Linked DNA regions of Oryza sativa Japonica Group. Each later gene encodes a partner of the first gene's protein in a complex. Links are inferred from orthologs where the notes say so. Each region holds a gene or a part of one and is shown in the gene's direction. Other genes may lie near its edges.

Region 1 (4,596 bases):
TGAGGACTTGAAGTTGCAAGGCTATTGCTTTCTTCTGTTACTGATTAGTCTATTTTACTTATTGCAGAATCTTGATAGGATAAAGTGTAGATTGTTGGAAGGAACAAATGCTCAAGATGTCAGAGCACTTGTGTTGGACATGCAAGCAAGATTGCTTCTGGATATGCTTGGCAAGGGAATTGAGTCTGCCCTGATAAATCCATCAACTCTGCTACCTGAACCGTGGCAAGCTTCCAGTGACATGTTATCTAGCATTGGGCCTGACAAAATGACTGTTGACCCAGCTCTACTTTTAAGCATCCAGGTATACTGTGTTTCATGTTCTTTTGATTTCCTGGTCCACAGTTTCAGTTCAATTTGCTAATCTCGTTTTCCTTTTTTTGGCTATAGACTTAATATGGGCAAATGATGTTGCAAACCTTTTTGAATGATAAGCTATTTGTAAACCACAACCTATTCATGCATGAGGATGAGGCATGATATGCCACAGATTAACCATGCCATGTATGGAATTTACAGTATTTACAGCAGTATTTTGCTGTTTTTATGTTCCAAACCGACTACGATTCAAACAGCCTCCAGATAGCTTTCATCATAAGCTTTGCTCCTAGGTGTGCAGGAATTATGCTCAGCCCATCAACTGCCTCCAATGCCTTAGCAATTTGTGCACACATTTCAGCATAAGCGGTCTGCATATGAACTTTCATGTTACTATTTTGTGGATTTAATTTTTTTTTGAACATGGACTGCAGGGGTACGTTGATGCTGTTCTAGATTTAGCGTCACATTTTATCACACGCTTGCGACGCTATGCGAGCTTCTGCCGAACTTTGGCTAGCCATGCAGTTGGAGCATCTTCTGGTTCAGGCAATTCTAGGAATATGGTTACAAGTCCAACCAACAGTTCTCCTTCACCTTCAACTAACCAAGGTTAATTTTGATTCCGTCTATCTTGCTAAAGCTTGTGCTTTTTTTTTTGGTGCTAAATAAAACCACCTATGAATTATTTGTTTCTTTATTTAATTTTTTGGAAAATGACAAGTTGCTGGCACATTTCAAACTTAGCAATGATGCTAATGTTTCAGGTAATCAAGGTGGAGTAGCGTCTACAACAGGGAGCTCACAAATGCAAGAGTGGGTCCAAGGTGCCATTGCTAAGATTAGTAACAATACTGATGGTGCTGCAAATGCTGCACCAAATCCAATTAGCGGGAGGTCATCATTCATGCCTATTAGCATAAATACGGGAACATTCCCTGGCACACCAGCTGTTAGACTTATTGGGGACTGCCATTTCCTTCATAGATTATGTCAGCTGTTGCTATTTTGTTTGCTTTTTCGGAGAAGGCAATCTCCAAGGATACCTGCAAATGCACAAAAAAGTTCTGATTCTAGCATGCAGAAACAACACTTGATGAACAGTAAGACAGAGGATAATACTTTGGCAGTCAGATCTGGTCTAGGTGCTGCCAAATTGGAAGATGGCACAACTTCACGTGGACAGATGGTTGGAGCAAAGGGTGCTGAAGAAAATCCAGTGGGCAACAAATCTGCTAGGATAGGTTCTGGCAATGCTGGCCAAGGTTATACTTCAGACGAGGTAACAAACAAATAACCCATAAATATGGATTTTCTCAGCCTGAATTGTTCAATAAGAAAACTTTTTTCAATCTGAAAATAGTGATAGTTATACATATAACAGTATTTTTGTATGTGCGCTTCGACATCAATATCTAGCCTGTATTGTTTCTGAATCAACATTTAGATTAGAGCTGTTATATAGTGTGGTTATATGTCTGCATATCATATATCATGTGTGTGTCTAAATTGTTTGCAAGTGCCATATGATTAAGGGTAATTAGACATGATTGGATAATTTACCTAGTATAATCTTTGATCGGTGATTTGCCCGACATGTTTCTCCCGATTTTATTAGTTGCCTTTCTGAAAGTATTATTTGTGTAGCACTGTAATACATCTAGTTTCTGAATTATTTGTTTCATGCTTGCAGGTGAAAGTCCTTTTTCTCATATTAGTTGACCTATGTAAACGGACTGCAACCTTGCAACATCCGTTGCCTTCTTCTCAGGTTGGTTCGAGCAATATTATTATAAGGCTGCATTACATCGATGGCAATTACACTGTGCTCCCTGAGGTAGTGGAAGCATCTCTTGGCCCTCATATGCAGGTACAATACAGATTTATTGTGGAAGTTTATTTCTGTATTCTCTGTGTACTCATTAGAGCATTCAATGTTCTCTTCTCAGCAATACATTATAGTAATTCTCAATTGTGTTGGAGAAATAGAGATATAGTATTTTGCAAGTTCTACTCTACTTACCTGGGTTAACGATGGATTGATCCAGCAAAAGAATATTGTTGTCCAAGTTAATTATGGAAATTTTCATTTATACAAGCACACGTGCATAATTGGTTTTTATGATTTCTTTTGTTCATACGTTCTCCATCTGCCTATATAATTTATTACTCATGGCCTCAGCGCCCTCTTGTCACCATTTAGGAGTTCTCATTTTCATCAGCATGTACATCTTTGGTAAGAGTAGTGAGCATGTACATGTCCAACAAGAGCTGTGTACACGCATTTCTGTCGAGAATTTATACCAATGTTGCCCATTTGTTCCAATATTTATTGCAGAATATGCCTCGTCCACGTGGAGCTGATGCTGCTGGCCTTCTACTTCGAGAATTAGAACTGCAGCCCCCTGCTGAAGAATGGCATAGACGCAACATGTTTGGTGGGCCATGGTCAGAACCAGATGATCTTGGTCCATTGGATAATACGCGACAGCTAAAAATCAATGGCTCTACCAATCGCCACTTATCGGACATGGAAGAGGATGGCGACAGCTCCTTTGGGATTCAAAATCTTTGGCCAAGAAAGCGCCGGTTGTCTGAAAGAGATGCAGCATTTGGTCTGAAAACATCCGTGGGGCTGGGATCTTTTCTAGGTGTGATGGGTTCTCGGAGAGATGTTATTACAGCTGTGTGGAAAACAGGCCTCGAAGGTGAATGGTACAAGGTAAGCATACTTGATAGTAGTAGTCTCTAACTTCAGTATTCTTTCAGAATTAATTATCGACGCACTCTATCCAATTCACCATTTGCCGTGACACCGAGACATGCTATCTTTTGCAGTGCATACGATGTTTGAGGCAAACCTGTGCATTTGCTCAGCCTGGTGCTCTAGCTCCGAACACGTCGAATGAGCTTGAGGCATGGTGGATCAGCCGATGGACCCATGCTTGCCCAATGTGCGGTGGGACATGGGTGAAAGTCGTTTGAATTTGACGCCTCCGGGCGACACCTTCACCGTACTAACCACTCTGCCAATAGCTTTCTCGGCCAAATCTGTGTAGGCGCCATCGGTTTTTGGACAATTTTGTATCTAACTTTAGATTGTTTGGTCTCAGGCCCTCCCTGGTATGGTATCATAGTTTACCTGCAGCAGTCAGAGCAGATTGCACCAGCAGCTGTGTAAAACGGTAGGAAAAAACAGGATTAGGACATGCCCAAACACTGTCAGAGTCAGCAGTTGTGTTGTGCGATCCTTTTGTACATAAATGTAGTGTACTAATTTGCAACATTGGAAAAGAAACTCCGTTAGATACTGCTTGATGTCAATAATATTTGCTGGTGATTGAAAAGACCATGTATGTAATAGCATGTTCAATTGGGTGTTTCTCTCATAAGCTATGCTATGTTCAACTTGTGGCTTTAGATCATCGTTCAACGTGGTCGACAAAATAAAGACGAAATTTGAATTTCTGTTCGAATCTTTTCGAAGGGTAGAAAGTATTCAAACTGCGCTTGGTTCTGATATTTACAGAGCTACCTGTAATACTGTCATCCTAGAACACTTGCAAAAATTTACAAGTGCTTAAAAATATTATCGAGTGTACAGAATTTGCTTAAACTTAACAAAATATATTCTCGAAATATACACACTACAAAATTTGCTAAAAATTGGGAAGTATCAGCGGTGTGGTGGTCTAATATTTAAATCTTATACCCACGAATATTATGTACGCGTAATTTGGTTTTCAATATAAATATCGTGAAAATAGGATTTGCCGCTAGTTTCTAATTGTGTTAGAGAAGCATTTGCGAGTGTGCAAGTGTGGTGTTGTATGCGTAGTGCTGTGCGTTCGTGCATATGGTTCAGTCGTGTAATAAAGAAATGCTAAGGGTGTGTTGGATGCTAGTGACCTAGAACTTGTCCCTTTCACGCAAAACAGAGCAACAAATTAGCGCATAGCTAATAAATATATTAGTAAATAATTTAAAGAAATAAATTGATATGATTATTTAAATCAACTTTCCTACTTTTTAATAAAAGACAGACTATTTAGTACTTGTCGACGTTTGATGTCGCGATTCCGGTATTTGCATAGTATGGAGATCGTTGGTACTAGGATATACGCGAGACCGAGGTAAAAGAGACGAAGACAGAGATTTTTATACAGGTTCGGGCCCCTGAATTGTCAGGTAATAACCCTACATCCTGTTGGCCGAAGCGGTCGTTGCTCTTATTCACCATAATCACACCAGTATAATATTTGGAGTAGCATATCTAAT
Region 2 (5,283 bases), on another chromosome or scaffold:
TCTAAACACCACGCTTAAATTACCAAATACTACTATAATATCATCGTCATGATAGAGTCATCGTAAATACCCACACTATTGCATCTCCCAGATAAGCTAGCATCATAATGAATATAACTTGGGTATGTAATAAATCTGGTATTCATATACTCGGAAAGTAATACAATACCAAAGTAATATAAAGAAGAATATTCTAAATAAAGTACAAGTCTTATAAAAGAAGGAAAAGCTACTAGAGCCATACCCAAATTCTTCCGAAGACTCCGAGGACTGAAGATTCTATTCTATTTCTATTCCACTATACTCTAGAAACTATATTAAACTTGATAGATGAAATGAATTTCTTGCTTGTGGTGTGTCTTGAAATGGAGAGAGTGAGCTCCTTGTATAGCCTCCCAATGACGGTTGTGACGGTTGGAATGGTCGGAAATACCCTCCAACCGTCATTGGGAGCTAATCCATACCGTCTAGCCGCAACCCTGCATCCAACGGCGCCAGGATGGGTTCGGCCGAACCAGGGGCCGACCCATTTTCGGCTAGCGGCCTCGTCTTCTGTTGCTCACTTCAGACTTGTGAATTTTGGCCCAATTGGTCATGTCATTTTTGCATTCTTGACCTATTCATTGATAGGTCTGATTCTCGACATTGTCTGATTGAATGATCACTTGTTTTGATGTCGATTCTTCTCCACTTAGTGTTCATTCTCTGCAAGAGGTTAGTAATCCTAGTGCCAGTGGAATATTTATTATTTTGACATAAATATGCATTGCAAGCATAACTAGTTCTCTTTTATTTAAGTAGTGTTGACGGACGAAACTGATCACTAACGACCGTCAACAAATATAAATGTGTTTTAACAATATCCATATAAGTATATCGTTTATTTCGTACGAGTCTTTATATGAGTTCACTGGTTGGGACTTGATGTTTCGTGCAGAGGTTGATGATATTGCAGTCATTATATTTTGAATGTTGCATTTATCTGGAACATTTTTTTAGCGAATTGAAACAATTTTTTATAAGTGGTGAAACATCATTAATTTTTTTTATATGTGAGATCTTGTTTGTAAAGATTTGAATTACAAGAAATACAACGGTGCAATCATATTATAGATTGGATTAATAATTTAAGAGAAAAAACATTTAAAGTGTGTTAAGAAAAGCAAGATTTGTATGGAGAGATGAGAGATAGGGAATTATGGAATATTGCATGTAGCTGATATGAGGCAAGGAAGTAGTTGACATACATGCTGCATGCAACAAATATGTAGGGTGCAACACACGCAGAGATGAGGCAAGGAAATACTCCCTCCGTGGTTGCTATATTCTGAGACGGATGAAGTAGTTGACATGCATGATGCATGCAACGAATATGTAGAGAGCAGCACACGCAGGAGGTGCAGGAGGGGGGCACCCGATTTTTCTCTTGAAAATCGGGCACCCGATTCTTAGTTACTCCCTCCATTCCATAATATAAGGGATTTTGAGTTTTTATTTGCATTGTTTGACCACTCATCTTATTTAAAAAAATTGTGCAAATATAAAAAACGAAAAGTTGTGCTTAAAATACTTTGAATAATAAAGTAAGTCACACAAAAAATAAATAATAATTCCAAATTTTTTTAATAAGACGAGTGGTCAAACAGTGCAAATAAAAACTCAAAATCCCTTATATTATGGGACGGAGGGAGTACCTCCTAAAAATACCCTTAGTTTAGCCGAAAGGCTACACTCAAAACTAACCTGATGTATACTAAGAAAGTAATAAATGCTCACAATTCTTCCCAACTATAGAGTACCATTATTATTACATTTACTAAACACCATAAAAGAACAATACAACTCTTTTTTACACCAAAATTTCCCCATATTCCCCTATGGCCCCACCTGTCATCCACACAAAAGCCCACCTTTCTTCTTATGGGCCTTGGGGCCCATATAAATTAGACCCCAGTACCCCACCCCTTCGCCGTCATCTCTCTCTAACCTCACGAAACCTAACAAGAAGAAGAAGAAGAGAAATTCCGGCAAGGAAGGGAGGGAGGGAGAAGTCGTTGGTGCGGGGGAGATTGATTTCGCGGGAGGGAGGGGAGCTCGAGAGGCGGTGATTCGGGGAGTCGGCAGGGTGGCGCCGGGTGCGGCGGCGGCGGGGGCGGCCGTCGGGGGGATGGCGGCGGCGGCGGCCGAGAGGCAGCTGGTGGTGGCCGTGGAGGGGACGGCGGCGCTGGGGCCGTACTGGCCCGTCACCGTGGCGGACTACGTCGAGAAGATCGTGCGGTAATGCTGCGCCCGTGCTTTCCTCCCCCCGCCGCGCCACCCTGCTTTCTTGTTACTAGTTGACTGTACGGCCGTCGCGGATTAGTGCATCTTGGATTTCTTGATGTGGAAGAATTGGACCCTTTGTTGATTGTTTAGCTGTTTATTTTGAGACGAAGGGAGTACATGGAACGCGAAGCGGTAGCTAGTTAGTTCTTGATAGTGGAAGTTAGCAGCTATCCGTGTATGTGTTTGATATACACAGTTTTTTAGTTATATTAGTCGGATATATCGTTCACTCCAAGCATTAGTAGGAGATTTGGAGATTTGTTGTTTGCTCTCACCTTCTTAATTGCAAACATTAAATGGTACTAGTTAGCTTCAATTCTGTTTCACAATGCTTATTCAAAGAGTAAGAATGCAAGCGCATCATCGATGTGTGGAAATTCGTGGTTTCTTGATGAACTGGTTGGTTGTTGGCTATATGGTGTTGTGGCACGAGATACATCTTTTTTTGCTCCTGATTCGAGGAGACTTTGTATCACTGCATATGTGCAGATCTATGACAGAATGTAGCATAATTCATCTTCTACTTTGGGTTTTATGCCTTTTCTAGTTCCTCCTTGCTCATTCAGAAGTATTTTTCTTCAGTCTAGCATATTTTAGTGTTTTTTTTTTCATGAATGATGAATGATTCCCATGAAAACCAATTTCAGTTTTTGGCTGGTGATTTTACTACTCTTCTGTACAACCAGTAATGTAATGATGGGATGTCTGTTTGGTTATGGTTATGGCTTTTCTGAAGTCCTTGTTTTCACTCTTGTTAATTAGTTGATGTTCTGGTTTCGCATGGGTGTAATTGGAATATTCATCACATGAGTCAAATTTCTTGTGTTCAAGCCTTTCAAATAAAAAAAATAATGAAAGTGGGAGCTGTTTGTATTGTTGGTCAATAATCAGTTTGCTCTGAATTATTAGGGTTTGTTTGCAGTTGCTATCCTCCTGTGCTTATTATTTAGCTTCTGTGGAAACAGTTAAGAAAAACTTCGTAGTCTGTTTGAGAAATCAAATTAATGTTAGACGAATTCTGTTAGTCAATTTAAACTGTTATTTCTCTGACAAGTGTTCTGTTTTTAGAACTGAAATAATATCTCTATTTGCAACTTGATTAAAAGAGCAGCAGTTAGCCAAACATCAAAATTTCTATAAGCTACTGTACGGAACAGGATTATCATAGTCCACCTCAACGCAAAATCCAAATGGAGCCTTTGATGTTATGTGGTGATCCACCACAGCTTCACTCTCATATACTTACTATCATGAAACTTTTAAGCTCATCTCTTGCTAGAAATTTTTGTCAATTTCTGTAGCACTTAGTAACCTTTGCATTTTTAGTACTACTATTCATGAAGCATTTCAATTTATGCAGGAGTTTTTGTGCACATGAAATGGCAGGACAGGTAATTTGCTCTCAGTATTTATCGTCGGACTTACTACTTGATCCATGTTTCCTTGACTTGTGTCAAAACTCAAAAGTGTAAATTATTATCGTGTTATGCAGAAGCTCGCAGGGACACCCCCTGAACTTGCATTAGTCGTCTTCCATACCCATGGTCCTTATAGCGGTAAAGTTTGATATCCTCCATGCCCTAAGCTTTTTATTATGATCCATTGCAATTATTTGTATTTAGTTCTATATCAACAAAACATGTAAGCTATGATAATTCGCTTTTGATTCCTTGCAGCTTTTTGTGTGCAACGGAGTGGATGGACAAAAGATATGAATGTGTTTCTTTCATGGTTATCTGGAATATCATTTAGTGGTGGAGGCTTTAGTGAAGCTGCTATTTCTGAAGGTCTTGCTGAAGCATTGATGGTATTGACATATTGGCATCGTTCAGTTCTTTTCACTTTTTGCACATAATGACTTCCTCTGGTGTTTCCTGTACTTTTTTTTTTTGGTTCAAAATGCATAAATTAGAAACTGTGGCTTACTACTTCCAAAATTTCAGTACTGCATATGGTTGCCTACTTTTGAGTTCCCGTGCAAGGTTTTAGCATTTTGTTTGGCTTGTGCAATCATGCTTCATTTGGCATATGAAATGATGTTTCTTTTTTGCCAAATGGCACATCTTTCATGTTAACATCAACAGTAGCAACCTTTAGTTCCAGGCAAGTTGGGGTAGGCTAGAGATGAAACTGATGTGCAGCCACAAAAAAACTAAGGGAAGTATAGTACTAGTAATAACAATATAGTTAAAGAAGACGTGAATTAGGTCATGATTCTGGGCATGTGGACCGCCAATTTCCATGCAACTCTATCCAAAACCATAATTCATCTCCACAGGAACGACTGGGATTTTTATGATGGCTTACCAATGTTATCGCAACATTCTTCCTTTACTCAGCGTTAGGACCAGCTATGCTGAAGCAAAGGCAGAGTTTGGTATCTTATTAACAGAGATATTTTGATTTCCTAGATGAAGGGAAATACCTCTTTTCATCTCTCACTGCACCTGAATTTGGGTCCAGTTTTGTCTAAATTAGTTGATCTACAATTTTGTTTCTCATAGTAAGCCCTGTAAACTATTAGTTGAGCCTGGACATTATGTAGAACCATGATACTTAACAATACATGTTCTACCCAACCTTTTGGATTACTTTATTTTCCAAGAATTATAGCTTGTTGTCTTGGTATTGTTATTTCCAGTATTCTCTAGAATCTGTCCTTTAATGCCCTTCTGCACAACATATGATTCATGTGAGAAAATTCTAAGGTGGTTTGCACATCCACTTATCAGCTATTGTCTCATAAAAAATGTCTTGATCTGGATATCAGCTACAGATAGCCTTACCTTAGTAAATAGAGTGTATAACTGTAATCACCATTTCATTAGGTTAATTTTTGTAAGGAAGATTTTCATTAGATCAACCCTATTAGGAAACTGGATGTCTGGGCCAGTACCCAGAATAAGCAGAGTGAAACTAGTATGATCAGAAGTTTAAATTCTATGAATGTACCTATAT
Region 3 (4,901 bases), on another chromosome or scaffold:
ATGTGGGCTAGATATAGCAGAACTACAGATTGGTGTGATTTATTTCTAACTAGATCTTTCTCCCAAGATTCTCAACAAATATTGGTAACCCCAATGTTACATGGGCTGAAAGAAAAGATCCTAAAACAAAATGCAATTTTTAAGTAATTGTTAAAAATAATGGGTCTTCGAACACCTAGCTAAATGTTTGTGTTTTGCTATAGATAAAAAAATGTATTAATATGTTAACCATCTTTTTGCTATAGGGAATATTCATCTTAGGCCATGTTCATTTCTTATGCAATCTGAGGATAAAATTTTAGATACTCGTGGCACACTTTTCAAACAGCTAAACAGTGTGTTTCGTACGAAAACTTTCTATATGAAAGTTGTTCTAAAATATCAGATTAATTCATTTTTCAAATTTGTAATAATTAAAATTTAATTAATCACATGTTATTATCACCTCGTTTTGCGTGAAACACTTAATCTTCATCTTCAGGAGATTCAAACACTACCTAATCATTTTTTTATTTGACTATCAATTTAGATTTGATCTTTTAAATATTAAGAAATTTAAGGGGCAACTTACAAAATTTACAATGAGGGTAGGTATGATGACATATTCACTATATGACATATCTCCGTTTTTTTTTTTGAAGAAGTATAGATTAGACCAATTGACTAGCCGACTGGGTACATCGGTCGTACTCCCCAAAATGGCACCAACCTAACCTAATGCTATATTAGATTCTGCTATAACTTATAATCAACTAAGGAGTATATTACATCAATAAAAGAAATATCTACCGATAACATTAAGTTAATTGTGACTATCACTGATCGATTAATTAGATGTATTTATGACAACCGCATGCATACGTGTCGAGCAGCAAAGAAGTGTGTTCACTTTTATGCTACAGTAAAAAAATCAGAAAGTCACGAAGTCAAGCAATATATGTTGCCATATTTGATGTTTAACACAAGATTAAATACACAAACATAAAGATAAATGGGACTTAAACAATATGCATAGGAAAAAAAATATTAGCATTTCATGTTTCTTTTTTCTAAAATACAACGGAAATTCACTGACTCCATATGTTCATATTGTAATCTAAGTTTATCTTTCAGTTAAACTTCTCTAACACCGGTTGGCTTTATAAAAAAAAATACAAAATCTGTAACACCAAATTAGTTTAATTAGATTCATCATGAAATATGTCTTTATTGCATTTATTTATTATTTTATATATTGGTGCATTTTATTCAAACTCAGACAATTAACTTAGAAAAAAATATTTATAGACCTAGAATTTTTCCCAAATAGAATTCCAGATTTATTTTCCAAATAGAAATATCATAAATATCATTATATATATATATATATATATGTATATATATATATATATGTATATATATCTATATATCTAATAAATCAAACTAAGTCTAAATAACTCTAAAACATTTATACATCCTAACAAAGGTATAAATATTTACAGGGTACTTTTAAGCTATGTTCTTCCCCCCATTTTCCCAACCCACCTATCTTGTTTTCCACGTGTACGCTTTTCAAACTGCTAAACGGTGTGATTTATAAAAAAACTTTATATATAGAAGTTGTTTAAAAAAATCATATTAATCTATTTTTTAAAATAAAATTAGATAATACTTAATTAATCATGCAATAAAATAAACTTCGTTTTGCGTGGCAGGAGGAGGGGTTCCCAAGCCCCTCCTCTGAACACAGCCTTAGTAGGTGCGCCAGGCGCACCCATTTTCTAGTAGTTTTTGGAAGAAGGGTTTCATTGCAATTTTGCGATCCCCACCTCTCTCTCTCTCGTCTCTCGCTCTCATGGCCGAGCCGCCGTCGCAGTCGCCGGCGCAGACGCCGCCGCAGGCGGCGCAGCAGCAGCAGCAGGGGCCCGGGGAGAGCGCGCGCGACGACATGATGGCCTGCGTGGCGGCGCTGGAGGCGGCGCTGCTGCCCTGCCTCCCCGCGCGCGAGCTCCAGGCCGTCGACCGCTCCCTCCAATCCTCCCACCAGAGTACGTCGGACTCACTGAGACTGACCCCGCCGCTCCCCCTCTCTCCTCCCTCTGCAGCCTCCCTTCCCCGTCGTTCTTGCGCTTCCCCCGGCCAAGATTTGGCGCGGCTGGTTTGGTTCGACTCGCCCGCCCGCCAGGTGTTCGCTGTTTTGCCTACGAGGTGGGGATTAGGAAGCCCCTCGTGCTCTAGCAAAATGTGGCGAAGTTATTTTTTCTTTTTACTTGCGCTGTTGGTACGCGGGCGTCTCGCGGGTGCTGAGATGAGATTGAGAGGGTGGCATTTGAGCGTTCTACATCTGTGTGCTCAACTGTCGATGTAGAAATTGGATTCTTTTGCTTTGTTGCTGGTTAGCAAAATAGGGATTCTAAGGTGTTGTGGTTGTTATAATGTGGAACAGTTGATGTTGAGAGGCACGCGAGGGATTTCATGGAGGCTGCGAAGAAGCTCCAGTCTTACTTCATCAGCCTGCAGCGCGAGGACCGACCGTCGACAGAAGAAATGCTTCGAAAGGTACATTGCATTGCTTTCGGAACAACTTTGCTTCGAAAGGTACTCCTTGACTTCGAAATGATTAGCAAATTAGAACTTTGTGATTAGCAAATTAGCCTGTAGGTAGAACTAGGACCTTGTTTGGGGGAGCTTAAGATTTTGAGAAGCAATTGGTTGGTAGTCAGTTTATGAGAATATGAAGAAGCTGGAAAGTTAGGTTTCTTGTTTCTAGTTTATTTTCTGTATTCTTTAACTACATCTTCTCAGAATCTAGATGAAAAGCTGAACTGTTTGAGTGAGCTTTTAATTTTAGGAAAAGCTGCAGCTGCCAAAAGCTCCCTCAAACATGCCCTAGGTTGGGTAAGCACAGAGTAACGATTTGACACCAGAGTACACAGACATGGGAGGCTGAGAGCTTGGGGATGGCGAGGGAAAAGGTCTAAAAAATATTCAATTTTCAAAGATAAGGGCTTGAGTTTGTCTCTTTTACAGTCTTGAATTGACTGGGCCAGCTCTAAATCAGTCCCGTATTGTTAGCACTAATTCTCTGAGATGTCTAATTGAAGTTTTTTTTCTGTGTTAGTACTCGTTGTGCTCAACATTTTAGAGTGCTTGAGATCCAATGGTTTTTAATATTTGGCCCATCAATAAGTTTAAAGCTATCTAGATTGGTTGTATAAAATCCATTTGACCCTCTCTTTGAAATCAATTATATTGATGTTATATTGCAACCGTTGTAAAAAAAAAATTGTGCATCGATTTTTCTCTATAAGCTTCATGGGAGAAATCAAGAGAAATCCTATATGGCGTGGTCCCCAAGCTGTAATAATCAAATAATAATGTGTCATCATGTTTTAACATGTCCAGTTTCGGTTTGCAGGATATTGCTATAATGGAGGAAGAGCTGAAGACCAAGTCCGAGCTCATCGACAAACATAAGAAGCTCATCGAAGGGTGGCAGAAAGAGCTGAAGGACCAGCTGGGAAAGCATGTTACTGAACTCGAAAGAGTGTGACACCACTGTCTTCCATGAAATGTCCCAGGCTCCTTCCGATGATCAACCTGAGTAGCCCAGTGCTGGGCTATGCCTTGGAGATTTTGAGTACGCCAGCCAGGAAAAAAAAAACACCACAACAATGTTTTAGGATCTGACCAGTTTGCCGAAGACGAACAAATTGCGCTGTATTAATGTTCGTTGCTATGTTCGGTTTATCATAATATTATTGTTCGTAGTTTCTCGTGTGCTCTCCATCTCATCGTGTTAGGCATGCCTAACATGTTAAACTTTTAGATTTTTCGGAGCAACATCTTTTTCCCGATTATAGGAGTGTATGATAACATGTGTGTTCAATGGAATTGTCTAATTGCCTCACTTGTCATTTTAGATGTTTCTTTCAACATATTAATGATTTAATGGTAATTGAATCCCACAGTTGCTGTCAGGTGACCATGGTGACACAACTACACAAGTATGACTATGAGATGGTAAATATTTTAACGAGGCTAACAGCAATAGCATAAATGTAAATCGTCTCAAGCTGCCATATTTTACACAAGGGAACACGAGTGGAACTAACTAGGAGAACTCACGACTGCAAAGATGGTTCAAATTTCATCTCATTCCTGAAACACACACGGGCAGCTGAGCAGTAGTACATTAACATGGTTGTCATGGTGTAGTCTACCTAACAATGAAAATCTATGGATTATGCGAAAACTTGGGACTACAACATTCATCGAGCAAGTCAATAGTACATTTACTTCTTCGCATACGAGATAAGCATCTGGTTATCTTTCGTAATTTTGAACCCCTGAAGATGGTTCATGGCAGCGGTAGCCTGCCCCTCGTCGCCGTACTCCACGAAAGCAATCCCAGGCTTTGCTTCAACCATTCTGACTTCCTTGAACCCTGGGTACTGACAGAAGAGCATCTGAAGCATCATAGGGGTCGTCTCATGTGGGAGGTTTTGGACGAAGAGGATGTTATTCGGTACAATTATCTCCGGCATCATGACCTTCTGTGCGCCAGCAAAAGGTAGCTGAGAGAGCTGCACAAAACAGTGAGCCAATGAATCGAAGGAATCCAAAAGTAGTGGGCCCAAGAAAAATATAAGGCAGAAATAGGGGCGTTTAAATGTGCAACATGCTTACTGTACAAACAGTGGTCTTTATGCTTGTGATTATTGTTTGCCGTGGTCATTTGTATTAGTTTTCTTTGTTAGCATTATATTCGATCTATAGTTTGGATGATTATCTTCCTTTAGTTGAACACGTTAAGAGACTTTCTTAAGGGTATAAACAAATGCATCCCTACAGAAGTGATTGTTGCCTCCACTTAGCACCGTGCTACCTCAAACTAGGTTCACAGCATGGGTTGTGATTTC

The links. The genes of interacting proteins can lie anywhere in the genome.
Region 2: mediator of RNA polymerase II transcription subunit 16 (region 1) and mediator of RNA polymerase II transcription subunit 25 share a complex: the UniProt entries of both Arabidopsis thaliana proteins name them as parts of the mediator complex. The link is inferred for Oryza sativa Japonica Group from reciprocal best matches to the Arabidopsis thaliana genes SFR6 and PFT1.
Region 3: mediator of RNA polymerase II transcription subunit 16 (region 1) and mediator of RNA polymerase II transcription subunit 28 share a complex: the UniProt entries of both Arabidopsis thaliana proteins name them as parts of the mediator complex. The link is inferred for Oryza sativa Japonica Group from reciprocal best matches to the Arabidopsis thaliana genes SFR6 and AT3G52860.

What each region holds. Positions count from the first base shown.
Region 1 is NC_089044.1:19,714,368-19,718,963, forward strand, and holds the end of mediator of RNA polymerase II transcription subunit 16, read left to right. Parts: intron 1-67; coding exon 68-304; intron 305-752; coding exon 753-930; intron 931-1,085; coding exon 1,086-1,600; intron 1,601-2,011; coding exon 2,012-2,188; intron 2,189-2,656; coding exon 2,657-3,040; intron 3,041-3,156; coding exon 3,157-3,303; 3' UTR 3,304-3,670; downstream 3,671-4,596. UniProt on the Arabidopsis thaliana protein: Component of the Mediator complex, a coactivator involved in the regulated transcription of nearly all RNA polymerase II-dependent genes.
Region 2 is NC_089043.1:12,243,772-12,249,054, forward strand, and holds the start of mediator of RNA polymerase II transcription subunit 25, read left to right. Parts: upstream 1-1,971; 5' UTR 1,972-2,167; coding exon 2,168-2,277; intron 2,278-3,685; coding exon 3,686-3,716; intron 3,717-3,817; coding exon 3,818-3,881; intron 3,882-4,001; coding exon 4,002-4,132; intron 4,133-5,283. UniProt on the Arabidopsis thaliana protein: Component of the Mediator complex, a coactivator involved in the regulated transcription of nearly all RNA polymerase II-dependent genes.
Region 3 is NC_089039.1:3,231,802-3,236,702, reverse strand, and holds mediator of RNA polymerase II transcription subunit 28, read left to right. Parts: upstream 1-1,762; 5' UTR 1,763-1,834; coding exon 1,835-2,027; intron 2,028-2,425; coding exon 2,426-2,538; intron 2,539-3,397; coding exon 3,398-3,532; 3' UTR 3,533-3,889; downstream 3,890-4,901. Other genes in the region: U1 small nuclear ribonucleoprotein A, read right to left, coding at 4,275-4,565. UniProt on the Arabidopsis thaliana protein: Component of the Mediator complex, a coactivator involved in the regulated transcription of nearly all RNA polymerase II-dependent genes.